Callithrix jacchus: one gene and its partners. The protein of the gene in region 1 binds, or shares a complex with, the protein of each later gene. Links are inferred from orthologs where the notes say so. Each region holds a gene or a part of one and is shown on either strand. Other genes may lie near its edges.

Region 1 (7,217 bases):
TACGGTCTGTCGGGCTGTCTACCCGGCAGCTCCCCGCCTGCTCTTCCGTGTGGCCTGTCGGGCTGTCTACCGGCAGCTCCCCGCCTGCTCTTCCGTGTGGCCTGTCGGGCTGTCTACCCGGCAGCTCCCCGCCTGCTCTTCCGTGTGGCCTGTCGGGCTGTCTACCCGGCAGCTCCCCGCCTGCTCTTCCGTACGGTCTGTCGGGCTGTCTACCCGGCAGCTCCCCGCCTGCTCTTCCGTACGGTCTGTCGGGCTGTCTACCCGGCAGCTCCCCGCCTGCTCTTCCGTACGGTCTGTCGGGCTGTCTACCCGGCAGCTCCCTGCCTGCTCTTCCGTGTGGCCTGTCGGGCTGTCTACCGGCAGCTCCCCGCCTGCTCTTCCGTGTGGCCTGTCGGGCTGTCTACCCGGCAGCTCCCCGCCTGCTCTTCCGTACGGTCTGTCGGGCTGTCTACCCGGCAGCTCCCCGCCTGCTCTTCCGTGTGGCCTGTCGGGCTGTCTACCCGGCAGCTCCCCGCCTGCTCTTCCGTACGGTCTGTCGGGCTGTCTACCGGCAGCTCCCCGCCTGCTCTTCCGTGTGGCCTGTCGGGCTGTCTACCCGGCAGCTCCCCGCCTGCTCTTCCGTGTGGCCTGTCAGGCTGTCTACCCGACAGCTCCCCGCCTGCTCTTCCGTGTGGCCTGTCAGGCTGTCTACCGGCAGCTCCCCGCCTGCTCTTCCGTGTGGCCTGTCAGGCTGTCTACCCGGCAGCTCCCCGCCTGCTCTTCCGTGTGGCCTGTCAGGCTGTCTACCGGCAGCTCCCCGCCTGCTCTTCCGTGTGGCCTGTTGGGCTGTCTACCGGCAGCTCCCCGCCTGCTCTTCCGTGTGGCCTGTCAGGCTGTCTACCGGCAGCTCCCCGCCTGCTCTTCCGTGTGGCCTGTTGGGCTGTCTACCGGCAGCTCCCCGCCTGCTCTTCCGTACGGTCTGTCGGGCTGTCTACCCGGCAGCTCCCCGCCTGCTCTTCCGTGTGGCCTGTCGGGCTGTCTACCCGGCAGCTCCCCGCCTGCTCTTCCGTGTGGCCTGTTGGGCTGTCTACCGGCAGCTCCCCGCCTGCTCTTCCGTACGGTCTGTCGGGCTGTCTACCGGCAGCTCCCCACCTGCTCTTCCGTACGGTCTGTCGGGCTGTCTACCCGGCAGCTCCCCGCCTGCTTTTCCGTACGGTCTGTTGGGCTGTCTACCGGCAGCTCCCCGCCTGCTCTTCCGTACGGTCTGTCGGGCTGTCTACCCGGCAGCTCCCCGCCTGCTCTTCCGTGTGGCCTGTTGGGCTGTCTACCCGGCAGCTCCCCGCCTGCTCTTCCGTGTGGCCTGTCGGGCTGTCTACCCGGCAGCTCCCCGCCTGCTCTTCCGTGTGGCCTGTCGGGCTGTCTACCCGGCAGCTCCATGCGTGCTCTTCCGTACGGTCTGTCGGGCTGTCTACCCGGCAGCTCCCCGCCTGCTCTTCCGTGTGGCCTGTCAGGCTGTCTACCCGGCAGCTCCCCGCCTGCTCTTCCGTGTGGCCTGTCAGGCTGTCTACCCGGCAGCTCCCCGCCTGCTCTTCCGTGTGGCCTGTCAGGCTGTCTACCCGGCAGCTCTGTGCGTGCTTTCTTTCCTTGGAGCCCTGTGTCTTGGAGGCCATGGTCCTGATTGTTTCTAGACCTGCACAGTTGTTAGCCTGGGTTTTCTTGGGATCTCCTTTCACCCCTCTTCAATGTGGGACCCTCTTCGCTGAATCTTAAATGTCTCCTTTTTTTTTTAATCCCAGCAGGCATGGGAAGGTCTTTTTTTTGTTTGTTTCTTTTTTTTTGAGACAAAGTCTCGCTCAGTTGCCCATTCTAGAGTGCAGTGGCAGGATCTCAGCTCACTGCAGCCTCGGCCTCCCAGGTTCAAGCGATTTCTCTGCCTCAACCTCCTGAGTAGCTGGAATTTCAGGTGCGTGCAACCACACCCAACTGATTTTCGTATTATTAGTAGAGACAGGGTTTCACCCTCTTGGTCAGGCTGGTCTTGAACTCCTAACCTTGTGATCCACCTGCACTGGCCTCCCAAAGTGCTGGGATTACAGGCATGAGCCACCGCACTCGGCCTAATTTTTGTATTTTTCAGTAGCGACAGAGTTTCACCATGTTGGCCAGCTTGGTCTTCAACTCCTGACCTCAGGTGATCCCCCTGCCTTGGCCTGCCAAAGTGCTGGGATTATAGGTGTGAACCACTGTGCCTGGCCTAACATTGTTTTATTCATTATGCTGGGCACATGTTTTTGACTTAGGTACAGCATCTTGACTAGGGAATATAGAGAATTATTTTATTGTGAAACGTAACATATAAGAAATAAGTGTGCAACGTTTATAGATTCCTTAACAAATATTACCAGATGAACCGCTCTGTTTTCTGCTGCCGAGATGGAGAAATCAAGCCCTTTAGCACCGGACGGCCTTCGTGACCCTCCTAGTCATGACACCCATCCCCAACCAAGGGCATCAGAGTTTGGTCACAGTCACCTTCCACCTTCAGTAGTTTTCTTACCTCTCTATTTAATAATTTTTTAAAATTAAAAATAATTAATTTTTTAATATATAAAGACGGGGTTTCACCATACTGACCAGCGTGGTCTTGAACTCCTGACCTCAGGTGATCCACTCGCCTTGGCCTCCCAAAGTGCTGGGATTACAGGCATGAGCCCCTGCGCCCGGCCTTTCTTACCTCTCTAAACTGAAGAGCCAAGAGTTGTGTCTGTTTCTGCCCTTAGCATTAATGGAATCGTGCAGTCTATTTTCCTCTGTTTCTTGCTGTTTTTGCCCCGTGTCATCTGGGGGGGGTGTTCCGTGTTGCTCTGGGTAGCTAGAGTTAGCCCTTTTTGTTTTTGTGTTTTTTTTGAGATGGAGTTTCGCTCTTGTTACCCAGGCTGGAGTGCAATGGTGCGATCTCGGCTCACCTCAACCTCCACCTCCTGGGTTCAAGCAATTCTCCTACCTCAGCCTCCCGAGTAGCTGGGACTATAGGCACGCACCACCATGCCCAGCTAATTTTTTGTATTTTTAGTAGAGACGGGGTTTCACCTTGTTGACCAGGATGGTCTTGATCTCTTGACCTTGTGATCCACCTGCCTCGGCCTCCCAAAGTGCTGGGATTACAGGCGTGAGCCACCGCGCCTGGCCTGGAGTTAGCTCTTTTTGTTGCTGGGTAGCACTCCGTTGTCTGAAGGGTCCACAGCTTATTTCTCCATTTTACTGAGGATTGGACATTTGGGTTGTTTTCTGTTTTCTGCTCTCATGAATGTCTTCTCCTGTGTATTTCTTTAGGTTACGTAAGATTTCTTTAGGGTAGTTAAGAGGAGTATATTCTTTCTGACTGCCCTACCAGAAAAAAAGAAAACAAAAGAGTAATATGCCAGCTCATAGGAAAGGTGACCACATAATTACTCACTCAGGATGTTTGAGAGTCAGAGAGGGCACTGTGAGCACTTGCTGCATAATGGTCAGAACTGGGCCTGCCCTGGGCACGCTGCCCTGCCATAGAGTCTGCACATCCACACAACGCAAGACCACAGAACAGTCCTGCCCACTTGCGCTCCCACCAGCACAGTGTGAGTTCACATCCGCCCGCATCTCTGCCACAACTCGGTGTTGGCTGACTTTGGTTGTTGGCGGTCTGGTGAGCACATCATGGTGTCTAGTGCAGGCCTAGCTTTTCCCCCATTTCTCCATCAGATAAGAAAGCAGAGATAGACATCCTGGCTGCAGAGTACATCTCCACAGTGAAGACGTTGTCTCCAGACCAGCGCGTAGAGCGCCTGCAGAAGATCCAGAACGCCTACAGCAAGTGCAAGGAATACAGCGATGACAAAGTGCAGCTGGCCATGCAGACCTATGAGATGGTGAGGGTGGGGCCCAGGGCCATGCAGACCTATGAGGTGGTGAGGGTGGGGCCCGGGGCCATGCAGACCTATGAGGTGGTGAGGGCGGGGCCCGGGGGCCGTGCAGACCTATGAGGTGGTGAGGGCGGGGCCCGGAGGCCATGCAGACCTATGAGATGGTGAGGGCGGGGCCCGGGGCCATGCAGACCTATGAGGTGGTGAGGGCGGGGCCCGGGGGCCATGCAGACCTATGAGGTGGTGAGGGCGGGGCCCGGGGGGCCATGCAGACCTATGAGATGGTGAGGGCGGGGCCCGGGGCCATGCAGACCTATGAGATGGTGAGGGCGGGGCCCGGGGGCCATGCAGACCTATGAGGTGGTGAGGGCGGGGCCCGGGGGCCATGCAGACCTATGAGATGGTGAGGGCGGGGCCCAGGGCCATGCAGACCTATGAGGTGGTGAGGGCGGGGCCCGGGGGCCATGCAGACCTATGAGGTGGTGAGGGCGGGGCCCGGGGCCATGCAGACCTATGAGATGGTGAGGGCGGGGCCCGGGGGCCATGCTGACCTGCGACATGGTGAGGGCGGGGCGCGGGGGCCATGCAGACCTGCAACATGGTGAGGGCGGGGCCCCGGGGCCATGCAGACCTGCGACATGGTGAGGGCGGGGCCCGGGGGCCATGCAGACCTGCGACATGGTGAGGGCGGGGCCCGGGGGCCATGCAGACCTGCGACATGGTGAGGGCGGGGCCCGGGGGCCATGCAGACCTGCGACATGGTGAGGGCGGGGCCCCGGGGCCATGCAGACCTGCGACATGGTGAGGGCGGGGCCCCGGAGCCATGCAGACCTGCGAGATGGTGAGGGTCGGTCAGGGGCCACGGCTCTTCCTCCAACCTCTATTCCTGCCTCTCCTGCAACAAAGTGGAAAAGCTGCCCAGAAATGGGCATAGCCAAGTGGAAGTCTGGCTTTGGTAGACTGACGCTGCTGGAGAAACTACGGACTGGGGAATACACTTCATGTGGGACCATTCCTGTGTTGTTGTTTTTTTTTTTCTGGGCCTTTTTGTTTGTGTATGTGCTCAGAGGAACCATTTTTTTTTGAGACAGTCTTGCTCTGCCAGGCTGGAGTGCAGTGGTATGATCTCTGCTCAGTGCAACCTCTGCATCCTGGGCTCAAGCAATTCTCATGCCTCAGCCTCCCGAGTAGCTGGCATTATAGGCATATAGTTCCATGCCCAGCTAATTTTTGTATTTTTAGAAGAGACAGGGTTTCACCCTGTTGACCAGGCTGGTCTCAAACTCCTGACTGATCCGCCCACCTCAGCCTCTCAAAGTGCTGGATTACAAGCATGAGCCACTGTGCCCAGCCTTCAAGTGGCCATATTTATTATTGTTATTTTGAGACGTACTTTTTACTCTTGTTGCCCAGGCTGGAGTGCAATGGCACGATCTTTACTCACTGCAACCTCCTCCTCCCAGGCTGAAGCGATTCTTCTGCCTCAGCATCCCAAGTAGCTGGGATTACAGTCATGCACCACTACCAACAGGCTAGTTTTTGAATTTTTAATAGATGGAGTTTCAGTATGTTGGACAGGCTGGTCTCGAACTCCTAGCCTCAAATGATCCACCTGCCGTGGCCTCCCAGAGTGCTGGTACTATAGGTGTGAGCTACCACACCTGGCCAAAATTTTGTTTTTTTAGTAGAGACAGGATTTTATCATGTTGGTCAAGCTGGTCTTGAACTCCTGACCTCAGGTGATCTGCCTGCCTCCACCTCCCACAGCGTTGGGATTACAGGTGTGAGCCGCTGCGCCTGGCCTCTAGGTGACCGTATTTTAAGGTAAGATTCAGTGTTGGATGTCCAGCCCTTGTTCCACCACGTTTCATAACACTTCTCATTCTTGCCTACACTCACGTCTTTTCCTTAAATGGGATTTATTCCATCGCAGTTTCAAAATATACAGAAAGAGCACAAGACCCTTGGATGGACTTTGAAGGAGTGGGCCTTGTTCATCGAAGACTCAGGGAAACTGTGAGCCTGGTGGATACTCCACGTTCGCGGTTTCCGAGGCGTCCTGCTTTTACTCTAAAATGAGACTGTGCGTGTCCTTTTGTAGGTGGATAAACACATTCGAAGGCTTGATGCAGACCTGGCACGCTTTGAGGCCGACCTGAAGGACAAGATGGAGGGCAGTGACTTTGAAGGCTCCGGAGGGCGAGGACTAAAAAGCAAGTCTGTTCATTTTTTCTCTATTACTGTTAACTGTGGAGTTGTGGAGTTTTGTCACTGTGGCGAGTCACTAACTTACGATCGCGATGGTAAGTATCATATTTGGGTAAACCTTGTCTTGCAGGCTGGGCACAGCGGCTCATGCTTGTAACCCCAGCACTTTGGGAAGCCGGGACAGGAGGATTGCTTGAGGCCAGGAGTTCAAGACCAACCTGGGCAACATAGCGAGACCTCATCTCTACGAAAAGTTTAAAAATTAGCCGGGTGTGGTGGTGCACACCTGTGGTCCCAGCTACTCGGGAGGCTGAGGTGGGTGGATCGCTTTAGCCTGGGAGGTCAGTCAATGCTGTAGTGAGCTATGATTGCTCCATTGCATTCCAGTCAGCCTGGGAGACAAAGCTGGACCCCATCTTAAAAACAAAACACAAAACGTGTCTTGCTTTAGCGAATTCTATAAAAGTAATTTGCATCTTATTTTTCAGAAGGCCGGGGTCAGAAAGAAAAAAGAGCATCCCGGGGCCGAGGCAGGAGGACATCAGAGGAAGACACACCAAAGAAAAAGAAGCATAAAGGAGGGTAAGAGGCCTTCCCCTCTTTTTCCCAAGAGAGCAAATACCAATATCCTGTATCCCTGATGTAGAAACACTGATGGACGCTGACCCCTGAGTGAATGCACACTGCGTGCTGGGTGGTGTTCTGATTCTTACCGCTGCGTGCCTGTTGTCAGCCCCTCCTCGCAGCAGCCTTGGAGGGAGTGCCATCGTCAGGGCCATTTTCAGTGTCACAGGGACCTGGTGAGGCTTGAGAGCTGCTGTGGTGTGGACGGGCCTGCACCCGGAGTCTGACTGCAGCACCTGTCTCCTCTTAGCCATGGTGTATGCTTGCCCCGCTAGGGACAGGAGGGTGGGGAGCGTGCTGACGACAGGCCAATCGAAAACACTCTTTTAGTAGCTAGGTTTTTGTGTATCTGTCAGTTATTTTCTGTATCAGTATGTAGTTCCTTCATGCATATTCATTGTTAAATTATGTGGCCACATTTGTTAAATAGATGTATCATTTAACCTGAAGTTCTTTGAGAGACTTTATTTAAAGCATTCTCCCGCTGACATCCTCCCTGCCAGA
Region 2 (7,134 bases), on another chromosome or scaffold:
AAAGAAATTGAGGCATGGAGAAGTAAATGGCCAAGAGCAAGTAGTAGAGCTAGGATTGAATCCAAGTTGGTTGGCCTGAACTCGTTTTGGTATATAACACCAAAGGCTTCCCTAACTCATGAACCTTGTCATTTAAGAGTAGGCCTCAGAGAAGATAGATCTTCGTAGTTACATCCATCCCAAATGACTCCCAGAGATCTACTCCTCAGATCCTTAACCAGGATGGTGCTCCCCTCACTCCCTGTGAACCCCTTCAGCAGAGCCCTTGTCCCCCTGACTGTGAGAAGATGACTTAATTCCTTTCCACTGGAAGTTGAGCTGTAAAGGGGATGATTATCTTTCATCTCTTATACCCCTAGCAAACAGAAGGTATTCAATACATGTTTGCTGAATGAATTAAATGAAAATGTTGGAGAATATATTATTGCTGCAAAGTTGGTGAGTGGAGTGAATTTTCATTAACAATATTCAAGTTTGGCATAGTTAAGAACAAACTTGACAAGAATCGTGAGAAAAGTGGGGTTTATCTTAACCACTTTTACAACTGATAATGATTTCTAAATCTAGTCCTAGAGATTCTACACAGTTTACAAATGTGTGCTTCACAGCTATAGGTATACTTTGCTCTGCCTCTGGGGCCCTGCCTCACCACCACTGTTCTGCTATACCCAATGGCTGCACCCGAGCCACTGTTCTGGACAGAATGCCCTTGATAAGTAGCAATCTCTCAGTGATTACTAACAAATGGTTTGAAAGAAAGAACAAATAATACATCTCAGTGATTACTAACAAATGGTTTGGAAAAAGAAAAAGAACAAGTGATAAAGCAAATGAGAGCAAACTCTTAACAATTGGGAATATAGTGAGTTCTTTGTACTATTCTTGCAACATTTCATAATTATCAAAATAAATTTTTAAAATCTAGAAAAGAATGTGTCTCAGAAGATTCCAACACACAAAGTCTAGTGTATTGGCCATGCTGGTATCATATTTTCTTGTCAGCTGTCTCAAAAAAAAAGCACATTCTAGGCTCGGGTTTCCTTGACCATCAGCCAATGCCAAGGGAAAAGTAGCTCCTTGGGTAGCAAGGCACAGCCATGGTTCCTGGGTTGTGGCAAAGATTAAATTACTTGCTGCTTGTAAAGTACTGATGAGCTCATAGGTGTCAAAGCCCCCGTACTATTTCCCCACACCAGGACCTTTACTTTCCTCAGTCGGCTGCCTTCTAAGTTCTTACCTTCCTTTTCCCAAGCCTCGCTATGAAATCAGGCAAGTTTTTCCTGGGACCTTTTTTTTTTCTTACTTTCTCCCAAGAAAAGCACAGAGGCAGTTCTGATGGTAAGAGCTTTCTGCTATTGTCTATGGAAGAAGGCAAAAATAACCATGGGGGAGTCACAAAGATTCCAGAAAACAGAAAACTCAAAGTGGTAGTTATTTGGTCTGTAATGACCACTTACTTTCTAGTACCCGTTTATTCTTTCATCACTTCTACCCATTCATCCTAGATCCTCCCCACCACACAAACCAGAATGCTTCAGCTTTCCCAGCCACTGTAACTGGAACAACAGAAACCTGTGAGCCATTTAAGTGTCCCCATGTTAGGAGAGTGCCAGATGGGTGTCACCCAACACTCCTCACCTATATTGTGGAGCAAGTCAAGATCATAGTAAATTATACCTCAATGAGAGATTTTCTTAATGTGAGACAGCATATTACCTCTATCTTCTCGGCTCCTTTTGTGTAAGCTGCATGAGGAGGTTGGTGCATTATGTCCCATGATAATGTTCAACTTCATTTTTGGACTGTCTCTGTCTCTGATCAAGGTTTGTAAGAGCCCTCCATAATGCCATGTCTTTACTAACACCTGATGCCTCCTACCTCCCCCACCTCCTCCAAAACACTTGCCTAGTTCCAGCCAGACCTCAAAGTTGTGGGCAGAAAGAAGATGCTTTGTGTAGGTTAGGAAAAAAAAAATAGTTGCTATAGTTGGTGGAATACAAGAGAGGGAAAAGACAAGCATTATTAAAGGAGAGGACCATATTAAACCTACAATTCAACACCCTTTCTTCTTTAACTTTCACCAACCCACACTTCTCAGCTATGATGCCAGCCCTGCACCATCACCTGTCTTGCTCCTGGGAATCTCTCTTATGGTCCTAAAGGTGGGTCACAAACACTTCAGGGAGGAGTGGAAAGCCTTTTTCTACTTTTTTCTTCCTGTAACCAGATTCACATCGCATTGCCGAGGGCAAGCAATATGACTCAGAGAAGAGGGGAGAGAGAAAGTGTGAATTCTAGAGCCAGACTTGTACCCCTGAGTATTCCAGAATTGACTGAACAGAAAATGCAAGGCAACAATACTGGGTTAAAAGCTATTCTCTAGCAAACAAAAGCGTAAAGAAGAGCACAACTGCAGAAAAGGTGGCAATGATGGTGGGTTAACATCGATTGAGAGTTGAATACATGCTGGGCACTGAAACACTTCTCAGAGATCTCAGGTAATCCTTGAAGAGAGGGTATTATCCTTTTACAGTTTAAGTATTTAAGCTCAGAGCTCACTTTAAATGAAAGAGAAAATGATGTTATGAAGGTAGAATACTCCTAGGTTAAACGAAAAAGAAGAAAAAATCTATTTTCACTTATCCGAACAGTAATCACATGATGCTACAAAAGCATGAGAACCACATCACTCAAAGGGTGCAGAGGCCGGGATCCACATTCCCATTGTCTACAGATGTTTTGGAAGTATTAAACTAAGTAAAAGCACAATGCTTTGTTCAGACCGACTCCTCTCCTCTCTCAGCCCCACTCTTACCGGCTCCCAGCCTAGACTGACAAGAAGTGGCTGCAGGGAAAGTATTAAAGAGGCGAACCGGTCTGGGAAAGTGGATTCTGGGTTGCTTAAACTAAGCAAAGATGTTGTGCAACCAGTTTTTACCTAAATTACTTTTCATTACTTCCTAAGTTTAGAGAGCAGCAGTTCACTTTATCAGACCGAACACAGGGAATGAGGTCGCCTTTCCCTCCAGGCTACCACTGGAATCACCTTCCACACGGTTTTGACTTCTTACACAATCAGACGGCGGGAGGGAGCAATCTCATCCTCATAGATAAACGCATCTCACGGAGCGCACACGCACACACACACACAAACAACTCGCGCACATCTGAGGCCACGGATTTCCTTGCAACTCAAAGTCGGAGAAGCGGCCAAACAAGTTTCTTGCCAAATCCCCTAGTAGCTACATATGTCCCAGGGCTGCACAGCGATAAAAACTTTGAAACATGCCTCCAACATACCACCATTGTGGCCACTCACTCGAGATCCCGCCACTCCCTCCCCACAAATAATAAACTCAGGCTGCCCTGTGCAATTTAAAGCCAGACTCCACCGAACCACTGGCTCTGCTCTGAAAAGCGGGAGAAAAGACTGAAGGCTATCAAAAAAAAAAAAAAAAAAAAAAAAAAATCTACGGCCCCCGGGGAGGAGGGAATAAAACGAACTCGAAAGCTGGAGAAAAGTTAACTTTGCCGTGCCCAACGGTGGGAAAATTTCCCGAAAAACTAGCAAACCCTCACGATTTTCCCACCCCGGGACCGCCGGGCGCTCGGCGGCCACGGACCTGCAGTTCGAACAATGACGCCAGCGGGAGGGAAAGTTCGCCGGCCCGCGGGGCGCCCGCGCTCCCGCTCCCGCCGGGTGAGCACCCCGGGCTTCCCGGGTTACCTCGCCGCTCCCAGCACCGCTCGTCCTCCCCTCTCCAGGCACTCGGTTCTTTCCGCCCCCCAACATCTGAAACAGCCAGGGCGCGCCCTCGCTCCCTAGAGCATCCGACCCCTGGCGGCAGACAGAGCAGGTCCTCCCGCCTCGGGTCTGGCCCCGTCAGCCCCGGACCCAGGCAAAGGGCAGGGACAGAGGAGGGGGCGCCAGGAGGGGGCACCGGAGGAAAGAGCCGCAACAGTTATGGCGCTCAATTCCTGCCCGGTGTAGCCGGGAGCTGCAGCCGAGCTCGCGCGTCCGCCCCCGCCCCCCGCCACCAGGCACTGCCCGGGCCGGCAGAGGGGCCACTAGGCACTTTACCTCAGCCCACACACGCTCTCGGCCCCAAGGCGCCGGGGACGCCGGAGGCGACCACGATGTGGAACCAGAGCGACCCGAAGCGCGGCGAGGCCGGGCCGGGACTGTGCGCTCCGCGCCGCCCGCTTCCACTCCCGGAGGCCGCCGCTCCCGCCGCCCACCCGGCGCGACGCCCCCACCCTCGCCCGCGCCGCGTCCGGCCTCCGCGGCGCCTACCTTAGTGCAGCTGGCTCGCGGCTCCTGCACGGCTCCACGCCGCGGCCCGGCAATGTGCCGGGCGAGTCCAGTCAGAGTGGTAACCGCCCCCCTAACCGCTCGCTTTCTTCTCTTCCCTCCCTCGCACCTGCCCCTTAATCCCCTCCTCGCCCCCGCCCCCCGCCGGGGCCGCCCCCCACGCCTCAGCTCCCGCCCTCGGCCCTGGTCCGCCCGGCCCGTCAGGCCTCAGCGCTGGGCAGGCGGTTGGGCGGCGGCGGCGGCTGAGGCGGCGCGGAGCACTATTGTATTCCTGACACTGTGCGCTCCCACGCTCCGCCTCTTCCCTTTCCTTCCTCCCCCAACCTCTCCTCCCACCCACCGCCGGCCGCGCTCGCCCTACCGGAGCGGCTCCCAGCCGTCTGCCCGCCGCGCGTTCTTCTGGCGGGCTGAGCGCCGTCGCCACCCGCCGCCTCGACGCCCCGCCCACTCGCAGCTCCCGCACCCGCGGAGCAGGGTTCCAGGTGGGCTCCCCTCCGGTCCAGCTGGGCGCGCCACTGCCGAGACGCCCCAGCCCCGCCGAGCGCTAGAGAGGACGAGGTGCAGTTGCCTCGGCTGTGCTGAAATACAGACTAAGCTTTTCATGGCCCCTTCCAACTCTGAAGTTCCAAAGTGGGACTCTCATACATCAACTCGCGGCCGCTATTGATTTATGTCGCTTGTGCTTGAATTACCTGTAATAATAAAGCCAAGGTCGCTATTAACAGAATTCGTTTATTCAGTTGCCAGCACAGGTGGTTTGTGATGTTGTGTGGCTTTTTCCATGTGTCCACTGGTTAGGCTATAGCCCACAGTTATTCAATTGAATGCCAATCTAGGTGTTCTAGAGGTATTTTGCTGATGTAATTAAAGCTCCTAATCAGTTGACTTAAAGTTAGGGAGATAATCCTGGATAATCTACGTGGGCCTGACGGAATCAGTTGGAAAGCCTTTCAATCAGGACTGAGGGTGCTGAGTAGGTCAGAGAAAAAGAATTTCGCCTGTGGATGGATGACACCTTTGGCCGGTGTCCATTGGTTCCAGCCTGCTCCTGATCTTCCCTTCCTGACTGCCTGCCCTACAGATTTTAGATTTACTTAGCCACCACTACAATCGTCTAAGACAATAGCTTTGAAGGAATGAATGAACAGAGAATGTATATATGTGTGTGTGTGTATACATATATATATATATTTCCACCACGCATTCTTCTGGCAGGCTGGGCGCCGTGTGTGTGTGTGTGTGTGTGTGTGTGTGTGTGTGTGTGTGTGTTTATGATTTTCTACTGGTTCTGACCCTTTGGTTGAATCCTAATATGGATGCTTAAGCAACAAACCTTTTTGGTTTACCTCTCTGCGTTTGGAAACGTACTATATGCAGCTATGATGAACTCATAGTCATTCTCTTTCTTTCTTTTTTTTTTTTCGAGTCAGTCTCCTTCTGTTGCCAGGTCTGAATGCAGTGGCTCGATCTCGGCTCACTGCAACCTCTTAGCTCCCTGCAACCTCCGCATCCCGGGCTCAAGTGATTCTCCCAACTCAGCCTCCCAAGTAGCTGGGACTACAGGCGCATGCCACTATGGCCCGGCTTATTTATTTATTTATGGTAGAGAGGGTTTCACTATGTTGCTCAGGCTGGTCTTGAACTTTTAAGCTCAAGCTATCTGCCTACATGGGCCTCCCAAAATGCTGGGATTACAGGCGTGAGCTACCGTGCTGGCCTATTTTCATTTACATTTCTATGGTGAACGATAATGTAGGCTCTTCTGTATTTTGTCTGTTTTCCATATTAAAGACGTAGTTATATTCCGTAATATAGAAATGTGTGAGTTCTAAAATATTCATAGTCCTTCAGACTTACCTCATTGTAAAATAATTACGGATTCGCCAGAAGTTGTAAAAAAAAAATTTACAGAGTGGTTCCATGTACCCCTTCATCCAGTTTTCCCCAATGGTAATAGATAACTATAATACAATATCAAAACCAAGATATTGACACTAATACAATCCACAGACCTTATCCAAATTTCATCAGTTTTACATGCACTGATTTCTGAGTCTGTGTATATAGTTCTGTGCAATTTTAACACATTTAAATTTGTGTAATCACCACAATCAACTTTTTCTCTATCACAAAGATTCCTCCTGCTACATTTTGTCGTCACAGTCACCGCTTCTCCTACTATAATTTCTGGCAACCCCTAACGTTCTCTATCTCTATAATTTTGTGATTTCAAGAATATTACATAAATGGAATCATACCTTTTGAAATCAGCTTTTCTTCACTCAGCATAATTTTCTTGAGATGTGTTCATTTGTTGCATGTCTCAATAATTCATTGCTTTTTATTACTGAGTAGTATTCTATAGTATGGATGTACCACAGTTTGTTTATTAATGCATTGAAAGTCATTTGAGTTGTTTCCAATGTTTGCCTATTAAGAATAGAACTGCTATGAGCATTAATGTAGAAGTTTTTGGGTAAACCTAAGTTTTCATTTCTCTGTGACAAGTGCCCAGGAGTGCAATTGCTGGGTCAGATGATAAGTGTATATTTAGTGTTATAAGACAATGCCAAACTTTTCTAGACTATAGCATTTTATATTACCACCAGTAATGTATGAGAGATCTAGTTTCCCCACATCTTTGTCAGCATTTGGTATTATCACTATCTTTTTCTTTTAGCCATTCTAATAGATGTGTAGTGATATATCTCATTGTTGTTATAAATTGCATTTCCTTAATGGCTAATGATGTTGAGCATCTTTTCATGTGCTTATTTGCCATCTGTATAACCTCTTTGGTGAAATGTCCATTCAAGTATTTC
Region 3 (7,240 bases), on another chromosome or scaffold:
GAGAATTTTCTTGGCCTGAAAAACTAATGACAATAGTGCAGCATTAACAAAGACATCCTGAAATGCCAGGAAAAAAGTGTGAGGGGGAAGTATGAAAGAAAGAGATGGGGAAATGATGATTTTTTTTATTCATGTTTGTTAGTTTTAAATAGTAAAGCCTTCTCCTATCCCAAATAAGTTGGTTTCTACTTACAGCTGGACGATTTTTAAAAACAACTATTTGAAATCAAAGGTCCATGCCCCCGTTTGTTGAATTTAATTGATGTATGGTTTATTGGAAAGGCCAGGGGCTGGTGAATTTAAACCATTTAAAATAGCAAAAGATTAAAGTGAATCAAATTTAGTGCTTCTGGGATTTTTGATATATGTTCCAAATTTGTTTTTAATAACATAATTGCTCCATGTTACATTTAAGATTACATCACAGGGAACTGGTTATGCGTGCAGTTATGCTCATAGAAACCAATTCCAAATGTCAAAAGTAAGAGTGAGGACAACTGTAATGTTATCATTAAAAAAGTAGAAGTTGGAAATGGAAGAGAAATACTTAGGTTGAATAAGTTCTTAATATGAAAGCTTTGAACAGAAAAACCTGAAAAAAATAACACGCACTAGGTTGACTTAATGCCTTTTCAACAGCATTTAAGTCATTATTTTGCTTTCAAGTAGAAACCAGTGCATTTTCTCAAGGTATTTTATTCATTCATTTTAGTGGAAAAAGACAGTTCCTGATTACACAAATGGGAATTGTGCTAAATAAATTTTGAGAACATCCATCAAGAAATAAAAGTTACTAGTCATATGTACAAATGGTTATTACATTTCATCTTTTCTAAAAGAACAAGAAATTCGGTATAGTTTCTTTTAGTTTTCAGACTTTTTTTTTTTTCTTAACTAAAAGTACTGTAATTGTAATATTCTCTTGCCTCTGGGGCTTTCCTTTCCACAATTAATCATCTTTTCTTCCACACCTTCCCTCCAAATGATTATTCCCCTTAGTTTCAGAACACTTGACGTTAATTCGTACTATTTTCACAGCTTTCAAAACATTGCCCTGCCCTTGCTTAGTTCCACGAGCCACCCCCCCTGCTTTTAAAAAATTGGTTAACAGAAGCATTTTTGTACTATCTCTTTGCCAGAAGATGCTACCATTTACTTGGGAACAACTTTGAGATACTAATTAGCTTCCTTACTCAAACTTTTGAATTTGAAACTCTCTATATTTAAATTCCTTAGGCTAACAAACATCTATACTTCAAAAGTAGCAGTATGTTCACTTTAAACATTCAGAAAACTTGGATCCTAAGACTTTATCCTTCATCCTCCTGACTCTAGAATACATGTCCTTGATCATCAGAATCAAGCAAGAAATTGAGTCTCACCAGCTTCAACACAAGTGTTGGCAAAGGAAACACTTTCAAATTGTCATTCATATGCACATTTACAGGTAGCTTACCCATACATCCTTTATAAACATCATTACGCATTGGTGCTTAAGACTTCAGTCATATGAGGTAAGCTTTCCAGTTTATAGGCAAAAGGGGGTGGCAATGGAGCCCTTTTTTTTTTTTTTTTTTAAATCAAAACAAAATCCAGTTTGGTCTGATGCTGCCATTTGTCAAGCATCTTTTAGAAAGCCGCCTAGTGCATTAAATTAACCAGCTCCTAACCAAATCAGGTTTAAAGTGTTTCCCATGCCCACAGTGACAGACGAGTTACCATACTTAAGTAGACTGTCAAAACTTTTACGTTTACTCTTTTAAAACGGGAAAGTCAGTTTTTGTTTTTTTTTTTTTTTAAGGATGTGTGGTGAGGAACAAGACGCTCACCTGTACATAACAAAGGCAGGTCTTTCCCGGTTGTCCTCACTGGGGGAGGGGCTGGACAATCCCAAGACCTTTGTCCTCAGGTATTAGGCATTGGGGGTTGGGGGAGACGCGACTTTCTGGGAGTCGTGTAGGCACCGGCACCCAAGAAACTACAGACCGCCTTTGACCTCAGTGACTGCCCTGGCTTTGGAGGGGCCCTTTAGTTTGGGGAGGGGGCTTGCTGCCCCAAACCATAGCCACATCACCCATAAGGACTGGGGAGGTAATGACTGACCACTCAAGAGTCAGGGACCCCTGTCTCTCCCAACTAGACCCGAACGTCCCCAGCCCTCTCGTCGGGCTCGCCCCGTGGCGGGCAGGGCCATGGTGCGCTGGGATCTCGGCGGGCGCAGATCCAGTCTCTGCTCGGCGCCCCCGCCGCGCCCGCACCGCCACCGTGAGGCCGAGCCGGGGACGGTGCCCCGTGGCGGCGGCGGCGCCTCCACTCTCCTCTCCGCACCGCCCCGGCCGCCGCCGCGCCGGGAACGAGTGGGGGGCTTTTTTTCCCGTTTCCCCCTCTTTCGCGCTCTCGCTCCTGTTCTGCGGGAGAGCCCGCAGAGTCAGGGAGGGAACGAGGGAAGGGGTGGAGGTGGCGGGGGGAGGCCGGAGGGGCGGATCCTGCCTGGGGGCTGATCCCTCCCTCCCCTCGGCCGGGCTCCGTGGCGGCAGCGGCAGCAGCGGCGGCTCCATTCCCCCTCCTCCCCCGGGAGCGGCGGCGGCGGCCGGGCAGGGGCCCTAGCGCGGGCCGGGAAGGGGCACGGCGGAGGCCGCGGAGGCAGGCGCGGGAGGAGACCGCGCTCCGCTTCCCGGGCCACGCCAACCTGCTCGGCGGCCAGCCCGCCCGCGCCCAGGGGCCCCGAACGGTGGGGCCGGGCCGGCGGCTGAGGTAATGGGGGCGGCAGCGGGGCCGGACAGAGCGGGGGCGGGGGCAGCGGGGCCTATGGGGACCAGGGACTGCACGGGGGGAAACCGGAGAAGCGGGGGGCTTTCCGAGCAGGGCGGGGGCGGTGCGAAAGCTCTCTCCTGGAGCGAGGGCGGCGGCAGGGAAGGAGAAGGCGGGTGAGCGGGGGAGCTGAAAAGCGAGGACCCCCTCCCGCAGTCGCCATCTTGTCTCCCCCCAAGCCCTGGAAGCCAAGCTGCCAAGCCCCGCCCCCGCCACGCCTTCCAATTGGCCTGGCCAGAGGAGAGTTCCGCCCCTTGAGCGTCCCTTAGTCCCCCGGGTCCCCCTGACGGGCAGGTGGGGCGGCCAATGGGCTCTCGCCTCTCTGTCCAGCTCACTCGCTGGCGCTCGCTTTCTCTGTCTGAGGGTCGGACTCCGCGTCAGACTGTCTCTGGTGCGCTCGCCCCCTCCCCTCTGAGATGTTATTTCCCTCCTTTCTTCTCCGAGGGGTCAAGATTCTTCTGGAAGAGGTGCCCCCTTAAAGGGGCAGGAGCCTTGGCTGGGGACGTCCCTTGTCTCCTATCTTGTGTAGGGAGCAGGGGATACAGTCTCATTGCAGAAGCTCTTCATTCTTCGGGGACCTGGGTGGGTGAGCCAGCGGGGGTTCAGGGGGTGCCGAGAGGAAATCTTGGGGGCGGAGGATGTTGGAGATATTTTGGAGGTGTGTATGTGGGAACGGCTTTGTAGGTTGAGAAACTCCCGCCAAAAAACTCGTCTAGACTGTAAGCTCCTTGTGGGCGAAACTCATTTCATTTCCCTCAGCAGCAGCCCTTCCCGCTGTAGAGTTTCTCCCCGGTGTCTGGAGGCGTGGGTGGGACAAAACACGTCTGTGTGGAGACTTGCGTGGTCGAGAGATGCCTGAGCAGCCGAGGAGGTGGCAGGTGGGGAGGGAGAAGCTGGAGCGGCTTTCAGGAAAGGGGGCGCCGCACCGCCTGTCTGCTGTTTGGGGTCGGTGTGGAGGCAGATGTTCTCACCTCCTAGGGCCTCCGTGCCTTTGGAGGGGTGGGTGATGAAGCAGGTCTGTTAGCCCTGTCTGCCCCCAGGGACTTGGCATTTGTAAGGAATCCAGTGGCCAAGGGCCTCTGGAACCCGGACAGAATTGCTGCAATGATTCTGTTTCCTTTGGCTCCAAGTGGGGTGTGTGCCATCCCGCCTGGCACTGCTCCTCAGCCAAATTGTTTTTTTGTTTGTTTCAGTCACACTTTGGGATTGGAAGCCCTTTCAAATAAGGATGTTAATAATACCTTATTAACAAGTAGCACCTTGAGAGCTAGATTGTATTACTATCATTTTACTGATGGAGTGGGGAGGCATAGAGAACTTAGGGGACTTTCTCCAGGTCACAGAGGGCCAAGATTAGAACCTAGGTTGCCCCAGAGCCTCCTTTTGTACTAGACCACAGCACCTCTGTGGTGTTTTTAATTCCCACTGAGATGAATTGAGCATTAGAAGATCTGGGTTCAAAGTGTAGCTTTATCACTTACTAGCATTAGGTTAAGTCACATCTTTCTGAGCTTCTAGGTAGATGATAGTAGCTATACCATCTCCTAAGGTAGCTGTGAGAAATATTAAAAGTAAGTGTGCTTTGTAATTTGGAAAAAGTGCTTTTATTATCACAGTCTCTACTTTATAAATGAATTGTTTTCTCTTTGAAATCTTCTCCCTGTTCATATCTTTCCAAGTCTGCCCACACCATGGGGCCCTGTATCCCCAAAGGTCTCTTCTGGTGGTGACAACCTTGATGACTACCTATAGTTCCTCCTGAGCTTGTTGTAGTTCCCTTCATCCAGAGAATGGTGTGGGAAACTAGGGCTTTCTCTTGGCTGTACAAGGATAGACTAGATATAAGTATTCTGGGAGAGACTTTTGAGGTAACAATGCATTGAGAGTTTACCTCAGATACTGCCCAGATCATACTGACTTTGGGTCGAATGAAGGTCCCAGACAGGCCCCTACAACTTCAGAGATCTCTTGGAGCCACTTCAGAGCTTCTAGGGTTTGTTTCTGCCTGGAAATGTGCTAGCTGATATATCTTGGATCCTGGGTCCCCGACCCCCAAGGCCATGGACTGGTACCGGTCAGTGGCCTGTTAGGAACCAGGCCGCACAGCAGAAGGTGAATGGTGGGTGAGTGAGCATACCAGAGCTCTACCTTCTGTCAGATAAGTGGCTGCATTGGATTCTTAAAGGAGTGTGAACTCTGTTGTGAACTGTGCATGTGAGGGATCTAGGTTGCATGCTCCTTATGAGAATCTGACTAATGCCTGATGATCTGAGGTGGAACAGTTTAAACAACCACCCACCCTCAGATGTGGAAAAATTGTCTTCCATGAAACCAGTCCCTGGTGCTAAAAAGGTTGGGGACCACTGTCCTGGATGCTGCTTTTTGTAGGGAATACCCTGCATACTATAGTTTGAAGCCCTTCGTCTGTGTATGATAGGCATTTCAGATGCCCTTACCCCTTCACCTCTAGGCAGGATCGAGGAGTAGGGTTTCTGATCATGGTAAGATGTATTGGGAGAAGACACTAGACTTGTGAAGTTTTGATCCTCTGATGGGGCCCATTGTTCATGTACAGAGCTTGACAGTGGATGCTGTTCTTGTTTTCTTCTTTTCTAAGCCCTTAACTACTCATGCCTTTTCCATAGTTAGCTGTCGCACAGCTTTATGTACATCATTAGAGCATTAGATTGTTCCCTATGTTAAGTTGTAATAATCTGTTTACTTTTCTGTTGCTTCAGTTAGTCAGGGCTCCTTGAGGGCAGGGATCATATGTATTTGATTTTTCCTTTCATTCAACTAATACTTATTGAGTGGTTATTTAAGAGCTAAGCACTGCTCCAGGAACTGAGGATACAGCAGTGAACAAGGCAAACAAAAATCTTCCTCATGGAGCTTACATTCTAGTGGAAAGAAGGAAACAAAAAAACATAGTAGTAGATAAATTATGTAGCATGGTATAAGATGGTGAGTGTTAAAGGGAAAAATATAGCAGAATGAAAGGTAGATTGCTGGTGGAGGAAAAGGATTTGCAATTTTAGATAAAGTAGTCAGAGAAGGTCTCACTGAGAAGTGTTGTTCACTTGAAGAAATGAAAGACTCAGAGGAGGTGAAGGAGCAGGCCATGTGGATGCCTGAGAGACAGGTTCTTCAGGCAGAGGGGACAGCCAGTCCTCTTGGTGGATCCCTTATCATATGAGAGGATGAATGGGCGCATAAGGGCATGAACATCCAACTCATAGTCTCCTGGCTTTCTCTCCTTAGGCCTGTCCCCTCAGTTCCCAGGTGCCATGAGGAAGCCTCGTCGGAAGTCCCGGCAGAATGCCGAGGGCCAGCGTTCCCCATCCCCCTACAGTCTCAAGTGCTCACCCACCCGGGAAACCCTGACATATGCCCAGGCCCAGCGGATTGTTGAGGTAGACATTGACGGACGCCTGCATCGTATCAGCATCTATGATCCACTCAAAATCATCACTGAGGATGAGCTAACTGCCCAGGATATCACTGAATGCAATAGTAACAAGGAAAACAGTGAACAGCCTCAGTTCCCTGGCAAGTCCAAGAAACCCTCATCCAAGGGCAAAAAGAAGGAATCCTGCTCCAAGCATGCATCTGGTACTTCCTTCCACCTCCCACAGCCCAGCTTCCGTATGGTGGACTCAGGCATCCAGCCAGAAGCACCCCCGCTGCCTGCTGCCTACTACCGGTACATTGACAAGCCACCTGAAGACCTGGATGCAGAGGTAGAGTATGACATGGATGAGGAGGACCTTGCTTGGCTGGACATGGTGAATGAAAAGCGGCGAGTAGATGGGCACAGTTTGGTGTCTGCAGACACCTTTGAGCTGCTGGTAGACCGGCTTGAGAAAGAGTCATACTTGGAGAGTCGTAGCAGTGGTGCCCAACAGTCACTCATTGATGAAGATGCTTTTTGCTGTGTGTGCCTGGATGATGAATGTCACAATAGCAACGTTATTCTCTTCTGTGACATCTGCAACCTGGCAGTACACCAGGAGTGCTACGGTGTCCCCTACATCCCTGAGGGCCAGTGGCTATGCCGCTGCTGCCTGCAGTCTCCCTCCCGGCCTGTGGATTGCGTCCTCTGCCCCAATAAGGGTGGCGCCTTCAAACAGACCAGTGATGGGCACTGGGCCCATGTGGTGTGTGCTATTTGGATCCCTGAAGTCTGCTTTGCTAACACGGTGTTCTTGGAACCTATTGAGGGCATTGACAATATCCCACCTGCCCGCTGGAAACTAACCTGCTATATCTGCAAGCAGAAAGGGCTGGGCGCAGCCATCCAGTGCCATAAGGTGAACTGCTACACAGCATTCCATGTGACATGTGCACAGCGGGCTGGGCTCTTCATGAAGATTGAGCCCATGCGTGAAACCAGCCTCAATGGCACCATCTTCACAGTGCGCAAGACTGC

Evidence for each region.
Region 2: ING5 (region 1) and JADE3 share a complex: the UniProt entries of both Homo sapiens proteins name them as parts of the HBO1 complex. The link is inferred for Callithrix jacchus from reciprocal best matches to the Homo sapiens genes ING5 and JADE3.
Region 3: ING5 (region 1) and BRPF3 share a complex: the UniProt entries of both Homo sapiens proteins name them as parts of the MOZ/MORF complex. The link is inferred for Callithrix jacchus from reciprocal best matches to the Homo sapiens genes ING5 and BRPF3.

The regions. Positions count from the first base shown.
Region 1 is NC_133507.1:162,983,187-162,990,403, forward strand, and holds the start of ING5 (inhibitor of growth protein 5), read left to right. Parts: upstream 1-3,263; 5' UTR 3,264-3,397; coding exon 3,398-3,596; intron 3,597-3,720; coding exon 3,721-3,887; intron 3,888-5,982; coding exon 5,983-6,184; exon of another isoform or gene 6,185-6,404; intron 6,405-6,577; coding exon 6,578-6,671; intron 6,672-7,217. UniProt on the Homo sapiens protein: Component of the HBO1 complex, which specifically mediates acetylation of histone H3 at 'Lys-14' (H3K14ac) and, to a lower extent, acetylation of histone H4. Component of the MOZ/MORF complex which has a histone H3 acetyltransferase activity.
Region 2 is NC_133524.1:47,872,042-47,879,175, reverse strand, and holds the start of JADE3 (protein Jade-3), read right to left. Parts: upstream 4,714-7,134; 5' UTR 4,674-4,713; intron 4,594-4,673; exon of another isoform or gene 4,295-4,593; intron 1-4,294. UniProt on the Homo sapiens protein: Scaffold subunit of some HBO1 complexes, which have a histone H4 acetyltransferase activity.
Region 3 is NC_133505.1:44,504,947-44,512,186, forward strand, and holds the start of BRPF3 (bromodomain and PHD finger-containing protein 3), read left to right. Parts: upstream 1-2,527; 5' UTR 2,528-2,754; intron 2,755-3,167; exon of another isoform or gene 3,168-3,469; intron 3,470-6,072; 5' UTR 6,073-6,098; coding exon 6,099-7,240. UniProt on the Homo sapiens protein: Scaffold subunit of various histone acetyltransferase (HAT) complexes, such as the MOZ/MORF and HBO1 complexes, which have a histone H3 acetyltransferase activity.